Rhinolophus ferrumequinum: one gene and its partners. The protein of the gene in region 3 purifies or fractionates together with the protein of the main gene of each other region. This does not show direct contact. Links are inferred from orthologs where the notes say so. Each region holds a gene or a part of one and is shown on either strand. Other genes may lie near its edges.

Region 1 (6,939 bases), on a different chromosome or scaffold from region 3:
TCTGGGGCTGTACCTATCACCCCTACCCTGAACTTTTCCTTCCCTACCTGACTTCCACCTCCGGCTTGTTGTGTCGTTCCACGACCTGGGAGGAGAAATTCTCCAGGCAGAGGGCAGCCTGCAGTGTGGCCCGCACGGCACTCAGGTAGGGGCGGAGAGTGGCAGTCTGTAGGAAAAACCCCAAAGGAGGATCAGAATCTGTCTCACCAAACACACTGGTCCCCTGCTCCAGCTACACAGGAGCCAGGCAGTACTGAGGGTGCTGGATTCTCAGACACCGAAGAACAGACTAAGCCTTCAAGGTGCCTTCCAGTCTAAGTCTGGAGCAGTGGTTCTCAACAGGGGACCATTCTGCCTGCCAGGGGACATTCGGCAATGTTAAAACATTTTTTACCGACATGACTTGAGATGGGGGTGCTACTGGCATTGAGTAGAAAGAGGCTGGGCAAACTGCTAAACCTTCTACAATGCACAACAAAGAGTTGTTCAGCCCCAAATAGTGCCGAGGTTGAGAAACTCCGGTCTAGAAGCATACAGGTAAATGAATGATTGTCCTCAATCTGTCTTTTGAGCCAACAAATGGATAAATCTACTATGTGCCAGGCACTGAGCTAGGGGCTGGGAATTCAATGATTAAGACCATCTCTACCCTTAAACAGCTCAATGCGGGGAGAGACTATGATACAAAGAAGAATAACTGAATTAGATTTACAAGTTATATTTGCAGAAGCAATTGGCTTTGATTTGAAGATGGAAATACAATTAGGAGTACTTTAGAATGAGAAAAAAAGAGTAAGGGCATTCCCACTAGAAGGATCAGCTTCTAGCTACTCTAACTCATCTTCATTTCCTTACATTCGCCAAGTTCTTTTTCCCCTCAGAGTTTCACACTTGCTGAACTATCTATCTGCAGGCTTTTCTACCCTCTTGTCGCCTAAGTCATCCTTCAGATCTTGGTTTATTCAGGGACAGCCTCTTCCTTCCTCAGAGAAGTCTTTCTTGACTTCCCCTTAGTAACAGTTCTTGTAATTTACAATGATACATCCTTCAAACATCTTTAGTAAAGCGATTTCTCTTTCACTAGACTGCAAGCCTCAGGGTCAATAGACCGCGTCTATTTTATTCAAATCTACATATCCTGCTCCTAGCTCAGTTAGTACCTAACCTATATAGTGTCATTCATTTTCTGTAGAATAAATGAATGAATGAAAGCTGTAACTTAAGCAAGGTTAGGATTAACACAAAAGGGCATTAAGAGTTCCAGAAGTAATAATGAGTACAATGTTGCTGTAGGAAACATATTTTAGATTTAGTAAACAAGGCTGCAGTGGTAGTCTGGAGATTCATGGGGAATCTCAAATGCCAGGCTACTGAGTTTAGCTTTTCTTTTAAGGTGGTAAAGAACTGCTGGGACTTTCTGAGGGGGAAGTTATAGGACCACAGCTGCAGGGGGGCTCTGTGGAGAATGGATTGGAGAGGGAAGTAAGACATAAGGCAGAGAGAGTTATTCAAGGAGTACTGATGAGAGCCTAGACTGGGGCCTTAGAGAGGAAAAGCACAGCAGTTCGACTATAACATAAGTATCAGAGCAATTCAACTGTAACATAAGTATCACAGCAGTTAGACTGTAACATAAGTATGCCAGCGATTAGACTATAACATAAGTATCACAGCGGTTAGACTACAACATGGTTAGACTATAACGTAAGATGTAGATAATCATGGAATTAAAACACCTCCCAACAAACTACGCTCCATTGATACAATTAAATACTACTCAGAAATGAAAAGGAGTAACTACTGATACAACACGGATGAATCTCAAATGCACTATGGTAAGAAGCCACATTCAAAAGCCTACATACTGACAATTCCATTTATATTACAATATGGAAAAGGCAAAATTATTGGGGGGTTAAAATCAGTGGTTGCCTGGGGTCGGGGAAAGAGGAGGAGGCCTGATTACAAAGGGACTGGCGGGAACATTTTGAGGTGATGGGAATGTTCTGTGCCTTGATGGTAGTGGTTACGTGATTGTGTGTGTCAAAATTCATAGATGATAAACCGGAAAAGGGTGAATTTTAGGTGGCCAGCCCCATGACACCTGCCCTTTCACAAATAAAACAGTCTCATGCAATACCTCAATAAACCTGATTTTTAAAAAATCAAGAGGTATGGCCAATTTAAGAAACAAAGAAGGAAGAGCGAGTTTAGGAGAAAAGAGGAGTTTTGATCTGGAGGTTTAATGTCAAAGTATCTTCAAGATATCCAGGCAAACCTTGGGAGACACCAGAATACACAAGGTCATCAAAGCCAAGGGACTAGACAGGTACATTACTCCCAGGAACGTACACATTTATCAAACAGGAGGATTTCCAGGGAGAGAGATCAGCAGTATCAGATCTTACAGTAAGGCAACAACGTTTTTGTTCTGACCAGGAAGGGGCTCGGGTGGAGGCAGCTTAAGAAATCCTTCAGTACGGTAGAATCAAGGTAGGGGGTAAGGAGAAGAGTGGGATATGGAAGTGTAGACGCTTCCCTGGGGAAACTAGAGAGTCTGGCGGGCAGGAGAAAACAGAGCAGTGCATTTAGTGAAGTTCTATTCCGGGTGGGGAGGTAGCCCTACCACCTGAGCGCTAGCTACTACGAGCCTAGGAGGTCTCACTTCCGGCTTCCTCCATGCCTCAGGTATTCCCTACCTGTCTCCAAAGACAGACTGTGAAGTCACCATGCCTACTTCTTACGAGGGCGTTCCCCGCTCGCCCCTTCCTCCCTTCGACCCCCACCCCGCCTTCTTTCTCCGAGCCTCATCGTGCCCCCAACTCCCCAGCATCCCTCGGCCCCAGGCCTCTCCGCTGCAAAGCCGTATCTCCCCCAGACCCACAACTCTGAGACAGAATGGGGGGGGGGGTCCCTGGCCCGGGGCCCGGCTCTCTCACCATCGCGGGCGCTGGCTGGGCCGGAAAGCGGAAGTACGGAAGTGGCCAGGCCCGCGACGCCTGCCCTTTCGCGAGAAGCGCAGCCGCAGTCTCCGCCCGGACTTCCGGACAGTACCATCTGTGCTCCGAGCAGGGTGAGGAGAGCCTCGGAACGCTGGGTCCCTTGGAAGTTTTCCCGCTAGGACTGCCTTGGTATCTTTAGACTGCTGCAATTTCAGGTCGGTACTCAAGCTTCTCCCGTTATCCATGCAGCTCTCGCTTGTGACTTTGGCTTTCTTGTCCTATTTGCCGCTTTCTTTCCCCATAGTCATGCAATGGTGCCGCCCGGCCGAAGGTTGGGCACCATATTTGGACAAGGCGAGGCGGAGGAGCCCTGCGTTCCTTCCGGTTCTGCGCCCCCATCCTTCCCCCGAGCCCCTCCTACCGGCTGCCTCTGGGGCTCGGCGGAACTAAATGCCTGACCGAAAACCCGGCTGCCGAGCCCCGCCCTCCAGCCCTTGGCTGTTCCCTCGGGTACCCGCGGCGTAACCCCCACCCCAATTGCAGTGGTCCAGCTCACGGCCCGCAAACCCTCCCCCGCAAGGCACCGTGAGCTCTCCCTCGCGTTTCTCCGCCCCCGCGTCAACTGCAGGGGCCCCGCCCATAGCCAGTTGCGAGCGGTAGATCCGACCAACCGGAACTCCCCACCCCCTCTCGCGGCCCGGGGGCCGTAGGAGGCCAGAGTGTGGAGGTAGAGGGGGCAGGAGCCGCGTTAGGGGTCTCGAGTGGACGGGGACCCTGAAGGCGGGGCATTGGGGCGACCCACGGGTGGAGCCAGCCGTTAAGCAGTCCCACTTCTGTGCCAGGCACTGAACTGGGCTCTTGACGAGCATCATCTTTTAATCCTCAGAACATCCGGGGGAGGTAGGTACCATTATTATCCCCATTTTACAGATTCAGACTTCTTATGGGGAAACAGACCCACACTACTTTGTCCCCATTTTGCAGTTGGAAAAACCGAGACTCAGGAAAGTTAAATGGCATATTCAGGGCCACATACATAGAGAACGGCAAAGTTTGGGCTTGGACCCAGGTATGTCTGGCTTACCATATCACATTCTTAACCACTGTCGGGCAAAAATAACCGGCAAAGTGGGAAGGAGTGAGACAAGGTGAAGCAGGGAGGCACAATTGAGAATGGGATGCTTGGAGCTCAGAGGCTTAGCAGAACTCACGAGAAGAACAACAAAAGAAAAGAGCATCAGGAAGACGTGGCATAGTGTATCATGGTAGTGAGGGGCTCAGACTCAGAAATACCTGGATTCAAAGTCTTGGTAAGCTTGGGCATGTACCCACCCTTACAAAGTCTCAGTTTCCTTATCTGTAAAATGAAGAGCACCATGGTCCCTGCTCAGAGGGTGAGGAATCAGTGAAAAGCTGGTAAGATGTCTGCACCTTGCTTGGTGCACAGTGGGTGCTCTCGGAGTAATAGCAGTGCCATCAGTCTTGTCAATAGGGTACTGAAGTCGGGCTTTCTCCTTGAGGCTGTTCCTGGATGGAGGGAACCCTTGGGCTTTCCTTGTGCCACTTTACCTCCCATCAATGTCCCTCTCCTTTTCAGCTCCGCAGGGTATCCTGGGCCATGAGTGAGCTGAAGGACTGCCCCTTGCAGTTCCACGACTTCAAGTCTGTGGACCACCTGAAAGTCTGTCCACGCTACACAGCAGTGCTGGCCCGCTCTGAGGATGATGGCATCGGCATTGAGGAGCTGGACACTCTGCAGTTAGAGCTTGAAACCCTGCTTTCCTCTGCCAGCCGGCGCCTGCGGGTGCTGGAGGCCGAAACTCAGGTGATACCCTACAGAGACGACGTCACCAGGGGTAGACTGATAAGTTATGGGATGGCTCATTGAGTTCGTCCCATCTGCTAAGGCCTGGGGTACAGGAGGTTGCAGGGGGGACAAATTGGGTTCTAGGGACACAAAATAAGCAAGAACATGTGTGATCTCCATAAACTGCAAGATTTCTAAGCATTTATTGACAACACAGCCCTCCCGCCCCCGACCCACCCCTTATGTTCTGGGTCCTGTGCAAGTCATTAGAGAAAGATAATTAAGACAATTCTGGCCTTCAGGGAGTTTGCTAACTATAAGTGGTGGGGGGCTGGTTAGACAAGTACCAGGTGATGTGTTATGGTTAGGGGGAATAGGGGAACTGGAATGAGGAGAGGATTTGAATCCTGGACTAAGCACTAGTTAGTGTTAGTTTCCTAGCTCTGTGACTTTGGGAAGATTACTTCCTATTTCTGAGCATGTTTCCTGTCTGCAAACTGTGCCGAATAATAGGACGTACCAAAGAGGATTTGTGAGGATTAAGAGAGGTTTTTTGTTTCGGTTTTTTTTTGCGAAGTCTGAGCCCAGTTTCTGACACTAAGTCAGCATTTTAAATGTTAGTCATTGGCACTACTCTCATCTCTCTTCACTGCATAAACATCCTCTGGGGCCTGTGTGCCAGGTGCTATGCCAGATCCTGGGGGACAACTGGTTAAGATGAGCTTCCTGGTCTCCAGCAGCTTATAATCTAGTCAAAAAGATAAAGTATGCTGTGCATTTTAGTATGTCCAAACAAGATGTTTGGGCCTACAGTGAAGGTGCAAAGTGCCAGGGACTCATAGAGGAAGAAGATGCCATTTCAACTGGACTTTGAAGTATGAAGAGCGTTGACTTGTGGTCCCTGAGAATCCACTGAAGCTTTTTGAACAGGGTTGTGGCACAACCCGTTGTATTTTAGTGTCTAAGCATCAGGTAACTGATGTGAAGAAGGCTTCCCAGTTGTGACTTTCAAAATGAAGGTTTGCTGGGAGGCTTGCTTGCCTTCACCAAAAAGTTTCCACCAGCATATTTTCCCAGACCTAGCATGCACTGGGGTGTGATCACTTGTTTGGCCTTGCTACTAAACACCACCGAGGTGAATCAGAATACAGACAAAATGAATGGAATGATGAGAAGTATCTGAGTAAAATCCTGTAAGATGGACACAGAAAAGGAGCTGGGTTTTAAAGGATGAGTAGGAGTCTGCTAAATAAAAAGGGGGTGGGGAAAGACTTTAGCGCCTCCTCAAGTTCTAGATCCTGATTCTTCACTGGGGGAAACAGTTGTCCTCTGTCTTCCCTTCCCTCCCTCATTAACAGTCTCTCTGAATTTCAGATCCTCACTGACTGGCAGGATAAGAAAGGTGACCGTCGATTCCTGAAGCTGGGTCGAGACCATGAGCTTGGGGCTCCCCCCAAACATGGGAAGCCCAAGAAGCAGAAACTGGAAGGGAAGGCAGGGCATGGGCCAGGCCCTGGCCCCGGGCGACCCAAATCCAAAAACCTTCAGCCCAAGATCCAGGAATATGAATTCACTGATGACCCAATTGATGTGCCTCGGATTCCCAAGAATGATGCCCCCAACAGGTTCTGGGCCATAAAACATAGAAGGGCCTTGGGATCCGGGCCGTGGAGACTGTGGAGGGGCCCAGGGCTGAGGCTGGTGGGGCACGGAGTGCCCACTTAGGATCTGCTTCTCCCTGCAGGTTCTGGGCTTCAGTGGAGCCTTACTGCGCTGACATCACCAGCGAGGAGGTCCGCACACTAGAAGAGCTACTGAAACCCCCAGAAGACGAGGCTGAACATTACAAGGTAGAAACCCTGAGCCTCGATAGACATGATGGAGAACAAGAGGGCTGAAAGGTGCCTCAGAATCAAAGATCCCAAAGACATATGTCATCTTACTTCCCCTACCCTGTCCAGACTCCTCTCTGCCCCATCAAGCCACCCAGACATCCATTCTTTCTCCTTGCATTGTCTCCCTTCTGCCCCATCCAAACGGTCACCACATCCATCCTAAGGCTTCAATTTCAGTGAGGTCCCCCCTTGACCCCACATCTCCATCCCCTCTACTTTGGTTTAAGACTTCATCAGCTTTCACCCAAACAGCGTCTTAATGCTTTCCTGCCTCCAGAGGGGCCTTTCTTTGTCT
Region 2 (7,448 bases), on a different chromosome or scaffold from region 3:
TCTGGCCTCTGGGGCACCCATGCACTTGTCACCATGGCCCTGTGAGCCAGCATTCTGTGGGCCCATGTGACCGTTGAAGACAGACAGGAGGGGGACCTGAGGATGGCGTTGGGACGTGGGATTCACATGAAGTGCTCAGTGTCTCCCATCACTCCTGAAACTGAGTGAGGCTGGGCGAGCATCGGCCAAACTCTGAGAGATTCCCTATCCCCCTAGACTGGAGCCAGCATCTTTCTGTGGTCCCAGCAGTACTTTCCAGACTGGGGAAGCATCCACAGCTGGGGGTTTGAGGGCAGAGAAGCGTGGCATGAGGGTTGGGAGGGGGTATAGCTCTTCAAAGTGGGGTGTGGGTCTCCATCAAGGGGTGCCAAAGACGACACCCTGGGGTATGTACGTAAGCCCCAGGGGGACAGGGGTATTTGTTCACTGATGTATCCCCACCACCAATTATAGTACCTGGCACATAGTAGATGCTCAATAAATATTTCTTGAATGTGGCTGAATGAACGATTCACATCCTTTCTTTCATATCTGTCTTAGGGGATGTTCTATAACGGATATGCCATATTACTTCAGTGGCATATGGATGAAATTTGTAAATATTTGCTGGGGAGCATGTGCTCAAATTTTTTTCCTGATAGGGTCAATGATTAGAAAATCCTGGAAACCTGCAATCTAGAGGGTCCTCTGAGGATTCAGGGAGAATATAGCTCCTCTCCAAAGCAAAGCAAGCTAGGCGAAGCCTCAGGCTGCCCGGCCAAGGGTCTCATGCCTCAGCACTCCTTCCTTACAGTGCTGCGTTCATTGTACTGGCTGGTGCCCTCATACAATGCTTCTTCACATCTCCGTTCAAAAAAGGCTGGGGCTGGATGAGGCACCGGCTGTAGGATTTTTCATCCTTTCAGACAAGCTTTACTAGCCTTCCCTGAATCCAGAGGTTTGGCTGTATTTGAGGTTAATCCAGGCAGGAGCTGCCTGGAGGCAAGGATTTCGGCTCCACAGGCATATAGGGAAGTCCCCACCCAGCTCAGAGTTTGGCTAGAGGGAGCTGCTAGTGAGCCATTTTGCAGCCTGCTAAGCAGTTACTCAATTTCCTGTTATGTGTAGAACAGCCCTTGCCACCCCAAAAAACCCAGCCAATCAATCCCTTCTCCCCAAATCTGCTCTTAAGGTCTTAAAAAGCAGGCAAAGTCAAGAAACACAAACGAAAACGATCACAAGGCACCATAAAGCTCCAGTTAAAGTAATCCAAATAAAACAAAAACCAAAGCCACACAAAACTCAATGCTGGCAGGACTGTAGAGAAATTCTCATTTGTTGCTATTAATAATTTGTTCAGCCTTTCTGAAGAGCAATGTGATAACGCTCAACAACTGGGTAGGAACAAACAGAACAGAATAACACAAACAGGAATTTAAGATTGTTAACACTGGTGGCATAAAGTCATTTTTGTGCTAAGAAAACAGCCACTGACTTTTAAAAAAGCAAATATGTCCAAAATAATCCTCTTTATAATGGTGACAGGATAAAAAAATCCAGATGACTAGAGATATGGAAAGAGTACATGTGATATTAACACATTGGGATACTATTTATTAGGAAAAAACCTATGTGGATTACATACAAACACATATGTAATAAACTAACTTTTCTTGGCATCTCTAAGTGCCCAGGATTTACCCAGGACGTTGACGTACATTCTTTAACCCCTAAAGCAAGCCTAAGAAGTTTTTTGGTGTTTGTTTTTTTTTAACCTTTGTTTTGTACAGAAGGAAACTGAGACTTACACAAAAGCCAAGATTTGCTCAGTCACACAGCTCTTAAAAAGCACAGCACATTCTGACCCCAAATCTTAAGAGTACAGGTTCACCTGGACAGCCACTTTGATAAACATAGGCAAGCCTTATAATAACAGTGACAATAGCAGCACACACTTATACTGTGCGTGCCTGGCATATTGCCAAGTTCCTTATACATATTATCATATTTATGTCTCACAACTTGAAAGTTCCCGATTTTCCAGATAAGGCAAGTAAGTTGGGGCCCAGAGAGATGAGGTGGTTTGCTAAGGTCATCAGCCAGTGAAAGCAGAAGCTGGCACTCGTATTAGGGCCCCGAGGACTCACAGGTGATGGGTGCTCTTAAACATCGGGCAGCACCGCGCCGGGTGCCCGGCGGGAGGAGCCTGGGGACAGCCTGGAATAAGCTGGGGAGAGCCTCCAGCTCTCCTGCTGCTTCACGCTACTCATTACTGTATTACAGTTACTGCCCGCGGTCCCGGCCCTGCCTCGTCTGGGTGTCCTGGCTGTTTTCCCAGCTGCTGCCGGCAGGGGAGGGGCCACTCGGATCGGATCCGCTCGGGTCCAGCTCAGCCGGTACAGGACGCCTCGGACCTGGCTCCCGGGGCCGGGAGGGGGCGGCCGGGAGGAGAGAGGGGCGGGGCGGGGGCGCCAGCTCATTTCCCGCTGGAGCAACCCGGAAGGTTGGAGGATTGGGGGAAGTGACTGGGCGTGGGGCCCTCGCTGCCTGAAATAACGGGGACACCGACCGTGGGGAAAAGTCAGGGAAGTGGGGAAGCAAGGGAGGGGACGAGGGGGAAACGTGGGCCAGGGATCTCGCCGCCCCGAGGGCGCCGGGTGCGGGGAGCCCTGCGCTGCCCACTCTTCGGCCGGCCTGCCGCCCGCTCCCCACTCACCTCCTGGGGAGCTTCCGCCCCCGCGTACCCCCTCACTACTGGGTACCCCCTTCCCCTCCGGACGCCCCCAGATCTCCCGGCAGGTTTTCCCCCGCTCCTCCCCTTCAGGCTCCCCTCCCCGCGCCCCTCTCATCCCCGTATCCACCCAAACTCCCCTCACATCTAGGCAGACCCCCGGCCCTCCACCTCCGAGCCACCAAACCCCCGCGCCTCCTCACCTCGGGGCGCCCCGGCAGCGGACTCTGGGCAGTCGACGCGCCGAACCGGCTCTGGGACTCGCAGCCACTTCCTCGTGGGCGTGGGGCGGCGCTTCGCAGCCTCAGCCCCAAGGGGATGGGGGCGGGGACCAGGGACCGTCCGGAAATCCAAGGCCCCGCCCAACCCTCCGGGTTTCGGGTCTGCACCGACCCAGGGAGCCCAGAAATCATCCACGACCGCCCCTCACTACTTTATGGACGGGGAGACTGAGGCTTAGAAAGGGGTGCGCAGCCTGAGCACAGCCGGCGGGTACCCGGAGTCTGGCAGTGTGCATGTCCCCCACCCCACCCCACCGAGAGCAGGACGGGCTCTACGTTCACACGCTGGTGCTGGTGACCCAGCAACTTAGGGAACCTCTGCAGGCCTCTGTCCCCAGCTCACGGGTACCATCACGGGTACTTCACTAACTGATGCCTGCTGGGCGACAAAAGTGCAGTACGGTGTCGACAAGGCAGCCAGTCCAGCCCTCCCAACCCTTCCCATCCTCACTACAAAACTGGGGTGCTGGCCCTGGTCAGGAGTGCACACCAGCGCCTCAGCTGACTCTGGCTGTTCCAGCATGTTCTCTCAATGCTGACTTTATGACCTTTGGTTCCACTGCAGACTGCTTCACTTCTTTCATATCTGGCAGCCATGCCGCCACCTGAATTTGGGTCTTGGCTCAAGTGGCCCCTGGGATCTTTCCATCTCTACCCTCTGCCTCATTGATGAAGATGTGGCCAGGTGGCCTGGCACACGAAGGAGGCCCTGGTGAACACCCTGCACCCTCTCAATTCGTCAGGCCCCTCTTCCTAGGACTGACTCATCTCACCCCAAATCAGCCAGGCAGCAGCAGGCAGCAGTGGGAGAGGGGAAGGAGAGGGCTTCAGGGGCTCAGGAGGTCCCTGGCTAGATTCCCAGCCTATCGGGTGTAGGGGCTGTGACAGGTACTGTTCTTTCTGCCTAGAACACTTTTCCCACCCTGTCCTCACCTCACCCACTTCAGTTGATCCTGCAGGACGCAGCTGAGTATCTCAGATCACTTGGTCCTTGACCCCCTTTCCATTAGATGTGTCCACTGGACTCCCCACAAGATCCTTTGTTCCCGGTCCCAGCTCCTGTTGCACTGCATTTCACTCCTACAGCGTGGTTGGGAGGATTAAATGTGTCCAAACATGGGGAGCACCTCCAGGAGCGAGCACTGATTTAGTGCTCAGTATACTTTAGCTAAGATTTGTATGATCCTGAGCCTTCCTGGCTCTCAGGAGACAGTGAGGGGCTGTTACCGGGGTCCCCCCCATCTAGCCTTGGCACTCTGTGATGGCTTTAGTCTAACTAGAAAAGTTTAAGATGGTCTGTACCGGCAACCCCCTTCCTGTGGGGACAGGTGAAGTTGTGGGGGGACAGCTGTGTGTCCCTGGCTTCTGTTCCATCCCTCCACAGCTTTGTACATGCCCAGGTGGGACTAAACCCCACCTCTGGTGTGGGCCCTGAGTGCTCTACCCACTCAGTTCCTGGTGTGCTATCCTAGGCTTGTGACTTCAGATGGCCAGGTCAAAGCAAAGCCCAGGACTTTGGATGACAAGGGAGGGGAAAGAAGCCCCTCTTGAGTGAGCTGCATGAATCTGAACACTAAAGTTGAACAGCCACAAGGGAACCCTGACGACTGGGTTAGAGCTCAGATGGAGAGAATCCCACAGAAACGACCAGAGTCCTGGTCAATCTCTGACTGGTCAGCCTGCACTTAACCTGCCTCCAGAGCTTTCCGATATGTGAGCCAAGGAGACTACTTTTAAGCTGGTTTGTTTTTCTGATACTCATCACTGAAAGCATCCTAACAAATACGCACCCCAGAGGACTCCCTTTTCCTCACTGTGAAAACTGAACTGAAGCAGCCTGCTTTGATGAAAAGATGACTCCTAAGCTTAGTGCGAGCAGAAACCGTGTTTATATCGCTCACTCTGCTCTCCCCTGTCCGGACGGCGCCTGGCACATAGGAGCCACTGAATGCGCATCTGTTGAATGATGAATGAATAAGTGTACAAATTAGAAAACTGAACCCAAGCTTCACTTGTGTAGCTTCAGGCAAGTCACTCTCCTTTAGTGCTTTACAGATGGTTTCTGCATCTGTAGAGTGAGGCTGACTCCTAACAAGCATTGCTGTCCTCTCACAGGCCGCACTGTGGTCCATTATGGGAAGGAAGCCCCAATGGATGGGGAAGCACAGCTCAAACTGGGAACCGACAGGGCTGTTGTCTGAAATGGTTCCGTTGGGGGACAAAGTTTTCTAAGCCTAAGTGAAGCCACTCCTTGGGCAAGGGGAAACTGGGGGTGGAAGAATTTCATTTGGAGTTCTGAGAACTTGAGAGTTTTCTGTTTCTTCCTGGAATCTGCTTCCCCCTGCAGTGCCATGGGATGGAGATGCTGCACTCCTTTCTTTTCCGCCTTCTCAGGTACCCGAGAAATGCAGCCACACACCCAGGCTTCAGAGTTGGCCACCTTGGAGGGCACTCAGTGGAGGGCACTGGTGCAATGTCTCCAGGTCATCAGGGTTCGCGGGCTTTCTGCTGCTTTCTCCTCACCACACTGGCCTTACTGTCTCCTGGTCACAAGAGGGCAGCCTAGCTCCAGACATCTGGACTCAGGACGCCGTGGGCTAGCCAAGGCAGTGGACACCAGGGTTGGTAATGAGCTCAGCATGATCTCCTTCTGTCTCAGCATGCAGGCCCACCCGCAATGGGGACCATAGAGCTTTCTCCCTGACATCAAGGGACTGCCCTCGCCCCATCCCTGGGAGCAGGAAGGAAGAGGAGAAACCTTGTACCTCCTTCCCCAGGCCACACATACATGTGAGGTAGTAGCCAAAGCCCGCGAGGGCAGATGTCCACCGCGGCTGAGGCCCAGAACACTCAGCATTCCACACTCCGGCCCTGCTCCAGGGGCGGGCCTCCTAATTGGGGGGGCACTTGTAGCAGACCCCCTTCCAAGCCACATGGCTTTGTGAGTCAGTTCAATTGAGAAACTCAGGTGTACAATGAAACCTCACAAGGTACAGAGGGTCCCCTCCCATCTATTCCAACGACATCCTGAGCTTGGCGAAACGAACTGGGTTCGGTCACTACAGCAGCTCCACTCCCTGCCCTTGCCCAATAGGAGCACGTTTGGCAGGAACTGCTGGGCTCTGGACATTGTCATAGTTTCAACGTGAGCTGTCACCCCCCCCTCTGGACTTGGAGTTTTGTCATCAAACGTGGCAGTAACACTTCCCACAGTATAGGGTTGCTGTAGGCGGTTATAGCCTAGCAGAGTGCTTACTTTGTCACCTGGCACTTAGCTATTCTTATGGTAATGTATCAAGGTAAGGAGAAAGCACCCTTCCTTCAGGAACCAGTGGTTCTCAAACCTTTTTGCTCATGACCCAGTGATACTGTTTCCCCGAAAACAAGACCTAACCGGAAAATAAGCCCTAACGCGTCTTTTGGAGCAAAAATTAATATAAGACCCAGTCTTATTTTTGGGGAAAAATGGTATATATTGTGACCTAGTACAACCCCCAATACTCTTACTACATGCAATGCAAAATCTGTTATTTTCTGTTTCATTTTTTAAATGCTAGTCATGACCTCCAATGTAAAAATTGATTTTTACAACCACTAATGGGCTCTGTCAGTGCAAAACACTGCTCTAGACCGTGTTTCCTTCCCATCTCTGAACTGACGTCAGTTTGTTTCCTAGCGCTGCTGTAGCCATTTCCGCAAACAGGGTGGCTGCAAACACCACACATGGATTCTTGTACAGGTCTGGAGGTGGGAGTCCACAACCAGCCTCAGTGGGCGGGCAACAAGAGAGAACCTGTTTCCTTGTCATTCCCAGTTTTCAGAGGCTACCAGGTTCCTGGGTTCCATGGCCTTGTGACACTCCAACCCAGGGGCCCACCAGGCTCACCCAGCATACTCTGATCTCAAAATCTTTGATTTAATCTCATCTGCAGAGTAAACAGGTCTGGGAATTAGGACACAGACACCTTTGGGGGTGGGGGGCATTATTCCACCTACCACTCCTAGTACTGTTTCCCCGAAAACAAGACCTCGCCGGACCATCAGCTCTAATGTGTCTTTTGGAGCAAAAATTAATATAAGCCCCGGTCTTATACTATTATATTATATCTGGTCTTATAAAACTGGGTCTTGTATTAATTTTTGCTCCAAAAGACTCATTAGAGCTGACTGTCCGGCTAGGTCTTATTTGCGGGGAAACACAGTATTTAAATTACACACATACAACTTAAACAACATAACCTTGGAACTCATATACGGATCTGTACTGTTTATTCCACAGGGGTAGCTTTATTGCCACAGCTACTGCACGTACCTGGGGGAACTCTGGGCCTTCACATCATTGCCTCCAGACTTGGAGGAACATGGGAACTAAAACACTTGCATGATGATTGTTGGGCAAACTGGAGTCATCCAATTAATCTGGGTTCTGAGACTGACCCCCGTTTTCTCAGCATAAC
Region 3 (7,340 bases):
GACAGCAGAGTGATTATAGAGAACAACACTGTACTTGAAAGTCACTAAGAGATTAGATCTTAAATGTTCTCACCACAAAAAAGAACCAGTAATTATGTGTCGTGATGGAAGTGTTAGCTTGACACTATGTGTAACCATTTTGCATATAAATGTATCAAATCAACACATTGTATACCTTAAACTTACACAATGTTCCATGTCAATTACATCTCAATAAAACTGAGGGGAGAACATGCCTTCTGACGGGATGCACTAAGGAGGATTGATGTCACTTCTGTGGCATTCCTGACAAAAATGCATAACCTATATCTATCACAAGGAAGCACCGATGAGCCTAAATTGAGGGACATTATCCATAACAACTGGCTGCCAAAAATGTCAATGTCTTGAAAGACAGAAAAAGGCTAAGGAACTGGTCCAGTTAAATGAGACTACAAAGACGTGATGACAAGCAAACACAGTCTGTGGTGCTAGATGAGGGAGCAGAGGTGAGAATCCGTAAGACATAAATGGGGCCATTTGTGTCAGTCCAGACTGCGTACAAGAGAACACTACCGCACGATGTCAAATCTGATTTCGATCTTTCGCCTGTGATTGTGTGAGAGCTCTTTGTTCTCAGAAAGTATACACTGAAGTATTTTGGTATAAAACCACACTTAAACAGTTCAGAAAAATAATAATACATATAGATATACAGAAAATGATAAAGCAAATGTTAATAGTTGGTGAAACTGGATGAACAAATAGTTTTTTGGTACACTTCTTGCAGCTTTTCAGTAGGTTAGAGCTGGTCTCAGGGTTTATTAGAGGATGCTAGGCTACCAGGATGGAATGTATTTTGCTCTAACAAATACTCTTTAGCACGCTGTCCAATAAATCATTAGTGTCTACCATGTATAGTTCAGTGTGAATTTTTATTCTAGAATTCAGTACTACACAAAGCTCTTTCACCAGAGTAACGGGCCTTTTTCTCCCTTCCTGATGACAGGAATTACACAACTGCTGATGGCTCTTACAATTTTGTCAGACAGGAAGACGAAGGCCAAATGTGAGGCTAAACTACAGCAGCCACCGGCCCACAGCTTCGGGGACTCCCCAGGCCCACTCTTCTCCTTGGCTGTGGTTGCTTTTATCTGCATGTCACCCCTTTTTATCCTATTTTGAGGTAAAAGTCAATCCAAAAACCATTTTAACTCTCCGGGAAATGTAAGAACTACTTATATGCTCTCAGTAAATTAAGGCTCTTCCAGGCTGCTCCTTCTGGCCATACACTGGACACTAGGACTTCATGAGTGACCAGTTGTTGCCATGACAGAGTATGTCCACGTGAGACCCACTGGGAAGATTCTGTGCCACTGTTTCTAAGTTGACACCAAAGCCTATGGCAGCTTGGAGACAAGAACATGACTTGGGGCCATAAAACAATGACATACTGAAGTTACACCTCGGACAGAGCAAAGTTACTCTTATCACGTACCTCTGAAGGTCAAAACTGGGCACCCCATTTTGGATATTTATAGCAAGAATGATGAGTTAGGCCCTCGGCTTACTAATATTAAAGGTGACAAACTCTGTGAGCATTATTGTGTTCCTATCGCCAAGACATGCCTTGTATTCCAACAGTTTGACAAGACCAGAAATACAAAAGCAAAAATCATTTTGGGAATGAAAAATACTTTTACCTGTTGCCTTCAGTCTTGACACAAGCAGACCTCAAGTGGGTGTGGGGTGAACACTAGCTTGTGGGAGGGGATGCGTAAGGGAGTTAACAATTGGGGGTGTTAATACCAGCGCTGATTTGGGCTTGTATGTTGGGTAGCAAAACGACTTCTGGTACAGTGCGTATTTCAAAAAGCTTAGTATAGAGGCAAAGAGGCAGTTTATTTTTGTGGGTGTTTTTTCCAGCCTGTAACCACTACCGGTGGCTTCAGCAGCAAAAGGAAAAAAGAATCAGTAGGAGATGGACTGCAGCAAACTAAAGAAGACACCCCCACAAGGTTGTCAAGGAAACCAAACCAACTGCGTTTCTCCATAGAAAAGAATCAAGGCTGAGAGCAACGTGCCATGGAACATTTTGTGACAGAAGTGATTACAACCCCGTCTTGAAAACTCTTTAAGAGGCTACATCACTTCTAGGCTATTTTAACCAGTACTTCATCTAGAAAGCAAGCAGGCAACCTTGCATTTCCAAACGACCGGCGAGACGGGCTCCGTAAGCACCTTCGCAAGACCAGCTAAGCGTGGACCACGGCAAGCACAGGGCATTTCCAACGGTCTCTTCTGCACATCTTAACGTCAAAAGAAGCAAATCACACCCAGACAGTAAAGGGACAATAAAACTACACCACAAATAGGCTTTCCCCAATGTAAACTTTCTGTGTTTCAAAATGGGGCCCTCCCCCCCCCCACCCTTTTTTTTAACCTTTTTAAGCGAAAAGGCAAATCTACACCGACTAAAGCGAGGGCGTCGCCTGGGTGAGCCATTCAGTCCCGGGAGAGAGCAGAGTGCGCTGCAAAAAAGGTGTCAAGTTGGTCACGATGGGAAAAGCTCCCCAAGTCGGTGGGCGAGAACCCTCAGCCGGCGGACACGGCACGCACGCGGGGGCCCGGCGAGGGCCCCGGGAGGTGGGCGGGAGGCACACGACGTGCAGCGCCTGCAGCGACCCGCCGGACGCCGGCCTCCCCGGGAGGCTGAGGCCAGGGGGCGCCCGCCCGGCGCGAGGGCGGTGCGGGAGGCGAGCGAGCCGGGGGACGTCTGCCTCGACTGTCCCCGGTCAAGGTGAGGGGCCGGGGCGCGCGGCGCTGCCGGCTCTAGAGGAGCGGGGCGGGGACGGGGAGCCGCGCGGGCGCAGCTCGGCCTCCAGGTGAGCGAGGGCGGGCGCGGGGCAGGTGCCTGGCGCCGGGGCGGGAGCGGGCTGGGCGCCAGCGGCTCTTACCCGGTGCCGCAGTCCACCACGCAGGGAGGCAGGCAGCCCGCCATGCTCGGCACGCGCGCCGCTAGGCCCACGCGACGGCCCCGGAGGCCCCGCCGCCGTCCGCTCGCCGCGCTTGCCCCGCGCAGCCGGCTCCCGGGAGCCTCCGCAGCGCCGCCGCGGGAGCCCGGATGCTCGGCGGCCGCCCACGTGACGCCACTCCATCCGGCCAATCACGGCGCGGGCACTCCAGGCCCCGCCCCCGCCCCGCCATCTTTAGTGCTGGCGGCGCGGCTTCCTTGCCCACACGCCCAACCTTGAAGAGATTGGGGACTATTTTTAACTGACTTACCGTGAACGTGACCGGGTTTCCGAGGCCTGGCTCCTCATCTGTAAGTCTCCCTGGTTCCTTCTCATCCTGTAAGTCTGGGCTCGAATGTCACCTCGGGGAAGTTGTCCCCTCGCACCTTACTCTGTATCTCAGGAATCTATTGCTTTCCTTCGCTATTTATTTGTCGTCTGTCCCCTCACTGGACTATAGGCTCCCCTAGGTTAGAGCTCGTGTTTGCTTACCATTGGTGACCCAGGACTGCACTGGTATGCAGGGGACTTGGTGCATACATGGTAAGCACCCAAATGTTTGTTGAATGAATGAATAAACGTCGCCATACAGAGAAAAGACACTCTGGTAGACTTACACCTAGCAGAACACTGCAGAAGTTATGTAACAGAAGGAAATATCCAAAACAAAGGCATGGCCAGCATGAAGGAATGAATGTCCTTAGATTGAATTAACACCACATCAAGGTCATTATATTCGGGGAAAATCTTTTCAAGTATCAAAGATGGAATCATCCCAAAGTTCTTACTGAGACCAGGGACCAGAGTGGTCAAGCACCTACCACGTCATAAAGGTACTAAAAGTCCCACTTGCTTCCTGCTGTGTGTCCTCTCGTAAATTCTTTTTTTCCATAAATTCTTGACGTTAACCTGTAGGAGCTTTCTGGAGATGTCATTTCATGTAACTGAACTATGTAGTATTAAAAGCATTGTGGTTTTTTTTTCCCTAGAAGAAGTAAAGGCCTTGTGTTAGATGGGGCATGAAATGGTGAGCAGGATACATACTCAACGTGTCAGAATCTAGTGAGAGAAAGCAACAGTCTACAGGCAGTTGCACTAGTGTGGTGATGCCTGGATGGCCAAGCCCAGGGTACCCAGAAAACCACTCACAGAGCCCCTAACCCTGACATGGCAGTCAGTGGAGCCTTCCCAAAGCCATGGGCTCTGAGCTGAACCGCAGTGAGTGGGTAGAGAAGAGCTCCCTGGTGGACAGTGTGGGGCAGTTGCGTGTCTCTGGGTGGGAAACATGTACAAAGGCCAGGAGGACCTCGAGACTCATAGGTGGCCCAGCCCACTTCACCAGGTAAGAAGCCTTTATAGGGACTTGGGACGGGCTAATTATAAAGAAAGTCCCTTTGGGGGAGTGTCCCCACTGCCTACGACGTATTGGAAGTGCTGGCCATGGTCAGAAGCTGGTAGGAAATAAAAGATTTCCTGACTTCCATTCCTTCCTCTGGACACCCCTAACTTTAGAGGTATCAGTTAAGATGTTTTCAAAGGCAGGTAACAGAAAACTTAAGGTAGCCCAAGGAATGAGCAAATGTTATTATGTCATAGGATCGGAAATCCAGAAATTCCAGGGTAACTCAACCACAGGTGTCATCAGTGTGGGCCTGTGCGTTTTGTTCTACCAGGTTTGCACATTGGCCGTTGTCCTCAGACTTACCCCCTTGGCGATGTGAGATGGCTGCAACAGCTGCTCCATACACCAACTGCAATGGGCAAAAATGGGGGAGAAATGCCCCGTCAGATTCCTTTCTAAGAGAGAGAGGAAGGAAACTTTCCCAGAAGGCCCTAGCTTATTCACCTGGCTCCATTCACCTGGCTCCAATAGGGGCTGCTGTAACAAAGCAAATGTAACAATTGTAACAATTACCTACAAACTGGGCGGCTTTAAACTATGGCACTTACTATCTCAGAGGTCTGGAGAGTAGAAGGCCAAAATCAAGGTGTGCGCAGGGCCCTGCCCTCTCTGCAGGCCCCAGGGGACAATGCCTCTCTCCCAGGTTCTGCAGGTTGTCCATAATCCTTGTCGTTCGTTGGCGGGTAGGTGCATCGCTCCGATCTCAGTTTCCAACGTCACAGGCTATTCTCCCAGCTCATATGTCTGCATTCATGTGGCGTTCTCCTCTTCTTATAAGGATACTAGTCCTACTGGATTGAGGGCTACCTTAATGACCTCATCTTAATTTAATACAGCTGCAAAGGCCTAGAAAGACCAGATCAGATCCCATTTATTATACCAGGTTTTAGGATTTTAACATGTCTTTCTCGGGGACAGTTCACCTCATAACACCAGCAGCCATTGGTAAAGGGAACCGAGGTACTGTGATCAGCTTAGACTATGAAGGGTGACCCCCTCGGGCTGGACGGGGGTCTTGTGTCCTCTGAAGCATATGGCTGCCAGTACCTGACTGGAGTCGGGTTTGATCAGCAGGAAGGGGAATGACAGCCAATAGTTTCTGCCTCACTCATAATTTTCCTACTTAAACCATTTTCTCCCACTCATTCTATGCCCTTTCACTCCTCTAGCCTCTGCTTGGAACTGTCGTTTAAACAAACCTTCCTCTTCCCCCTGCTGGAGTTTTGCCACCTCTGTGAAGGTGTCCCTCAGTTTCACAAAAGACTGTCACTCTCCTCTGCTCCGAGAGAGCCAGCGAATCCTTCCACGTTTGTACTTATTGGGTGGCATCATAATGGTCACACTTCCATCACCCCAGTACCCCAGGAGAAGCGTAGAACTGTCTACTAAGATGAGAACTGTCTAAGAGTACAACTGTTGGATACATTTTTTATCTTCATCGGGCACTGCCTGGCCTCTCTGTAGCCACTCAAGGAATAGCTATTGAACAAATGAAAGTCTTTAGGCAATCTTTAAACCTCTCAATTACACATCACACTTGCTATTACGTGCTTTTTTTATCTGGTATCTTGAATATTTTAAGCAAATACAAGTGGATATTATGTATCATTCCTGTGTTAGTGTTCTTACCGTTTTTTGTCTTTTTGTGCTGTTCTTCTGTATGGTACAACGTATTCTTCTGTGATATTCTTCTTAGGTCGTAAACTCCTATCGATCAGAGACTGGTGGCATCACTGACAAGTGCCTTAGAGCAGAACAGCCAGAGAGAAGCACGGTAAGTACAGTCGCCATTAATTACATTGCTAAGGGAGCTTGGCCCCCTCCCATATATTGCGCAAAATTCTCCCTCCTTGGAACAAGAGGCACATTTGAGTTGGCTTCCTTTAGCAAGGCATCTCTTTACTGTGCTTCTACCCAACAATGGCCGTCTACTCTCCCCTCCCAACAGGCAGAAACGTGGAAACCAGAACACTTCCTGTACAGGACCCAGCATCTCTTCTGGCCATCGAGGTGACTTTTTCTTAGCTACTATCCTTAGTGCTGCACAACCCAGCACCACTCTCAGCCGAACTTTCAGTAAACACCTTTTGATGCATTTTGATGCCTATGAGGACTACTTTATAAAATAATCAGGGCTTGGAGATCGTCCATGGAATGGGGTTTAGTCCGTGAGCGCTGGGACAATGTGATCCTAATGTCCTGCACTTAACTGGTTGCGCTGGGCCAAAAAGGAAAAAGAACACACAAAACGAAAGGCTGTCTTCAGAAACGGCCCACCCAGCCGCTCTGTGAATCTTGAATCACAGAGCTGGAGCCAAGCGCGATCTGGGTGTTCTCTGTTGCCATAGGATGCAAATAGAGAAAGGAGTCCCCAAAAATGAGTGCCGCATGCCTTTGAAAGTAGCTGGCATTCTCCTTTAAGAGGAAGGGCCTGTCACTGCACTCAATGGACCTCCCAGGGGTCTTGGCAGGAGTGGTAGAAAATGGTCCCAGCTGCAGCCGATTGGCCAGACCGTGGTGACTGTGTCAGAGGTGGTAACAGACCCGAAACCACAAGGTGGGTAAGTTGACCTGACCATCTTCAGATCAACAGTCCTCTGTTTCTGCCTCCCCCATGGCGGGCGATCACTGGCCTGGACGCCCCCTCCTCTCTGGCCTCGTGTCCTGTACCACTCAGCTGCCACGTCCTGTTCACCCCATCCCACCACTCCCCTTGTCTGTAGACCTGCTTTTTGTCTTCCTGCTGCTCTTAACTGAACTGCTGCATATCTGTCCATCAGCCACCCTGGCTCCAGGCTTTGGCCTGTCTGAGACTTCTCTGGGGCAAGCAGTGCTGCTCTGAGAGGTGTCTGCCAAAACAGAGAATGTGTGTACATCATGTCAGCCTCCTTCCCCCAAACCTTCAGGGACTTTCCCCAAACCTTCAGAGAGACTCTCTATTATTA

Evidence for each region. Proteins that work in one complex are often made in the same cells at the same time.
Region 1: the proteins of ACTR3B (region 3) and ARPC4 purify together in Homo sapiens (affinity purification with mass spectrometry; 5 studies listed by BioGRID and IntAct, counting the BioPlex papers as one, with this or other methods). This does not show direct contact. The link is inferred for Rhinolophus ferrumequinum from reciprocal best matches to the Homo sapiens genes ACTR3B and ARPC4.
Region 2: the proteins of ACTR3B (region 3) and ARPC1B purify together in Homo sapiens (affinity purification with mass spectrometry; 5 studies listed by BioGRID and IntAct, counting the BioPlex papers as one, with this or other methods). This does not show direct contact. The link is inferred for Rhinolophus ferrumequinum from reciprocal best matches to the Homo sapiens genes ACTR3B and ARPC1B.

What each region holds. Positions count from the first base shown.
Region 1 is NC_046300.1:44,117,714-44,124,652, forward strand, and holds the start of ARPC4 (actin-related protein 2/3 complex subunit 4), read right to left. Parts: upstream 3,050-6,939; 5' UTR 2,943-3,049; coding exon 2,940-2,942; intron 167-2,939; coding exon 48-166; intron 1-47. Other genes in the region: TADA3 (transcriptional adapter 3), read left to right, coding at 4,561-4,767, 6,124-6,374, 6,494-6,599. UniProt on the Homo sapiens protein: Actin-binding component of the Arp2/3 complex, a multiprotein complex that mediates actin polymerization upon stimulation by nucleation-promoting factor (NPF).
Region 2 is NC_046290.1:89,608,328-89,615,775, reverse strand, and holds the start of ARPC1B (actin-related protein 2/3 complex subunit 1B), read right to left. Parts: upstream 3,050-7,448; 5' UTR 2,914-3,049; intron 1-2,913. UniProt on the Homo sapiens protein: Component of the Arp2/3 complex, a multiprotein complex that mediates actin polymerization upon stimulation by nucleation-promoting factor (NPF).
Region 3 is NC_046309.1:2,856,155-2,863,494, forward strand, and holds the start of ACTR3B (actin-related protein 3B), read right to left. Parts: upstream 3,085-7,340; 5' UTR 2,981-3,084; coding exon 2,937-2,980; intron 1-2,936. UniProt on the Homo sapiens protein: Plays a role in the organization of the actin cytoskeleton.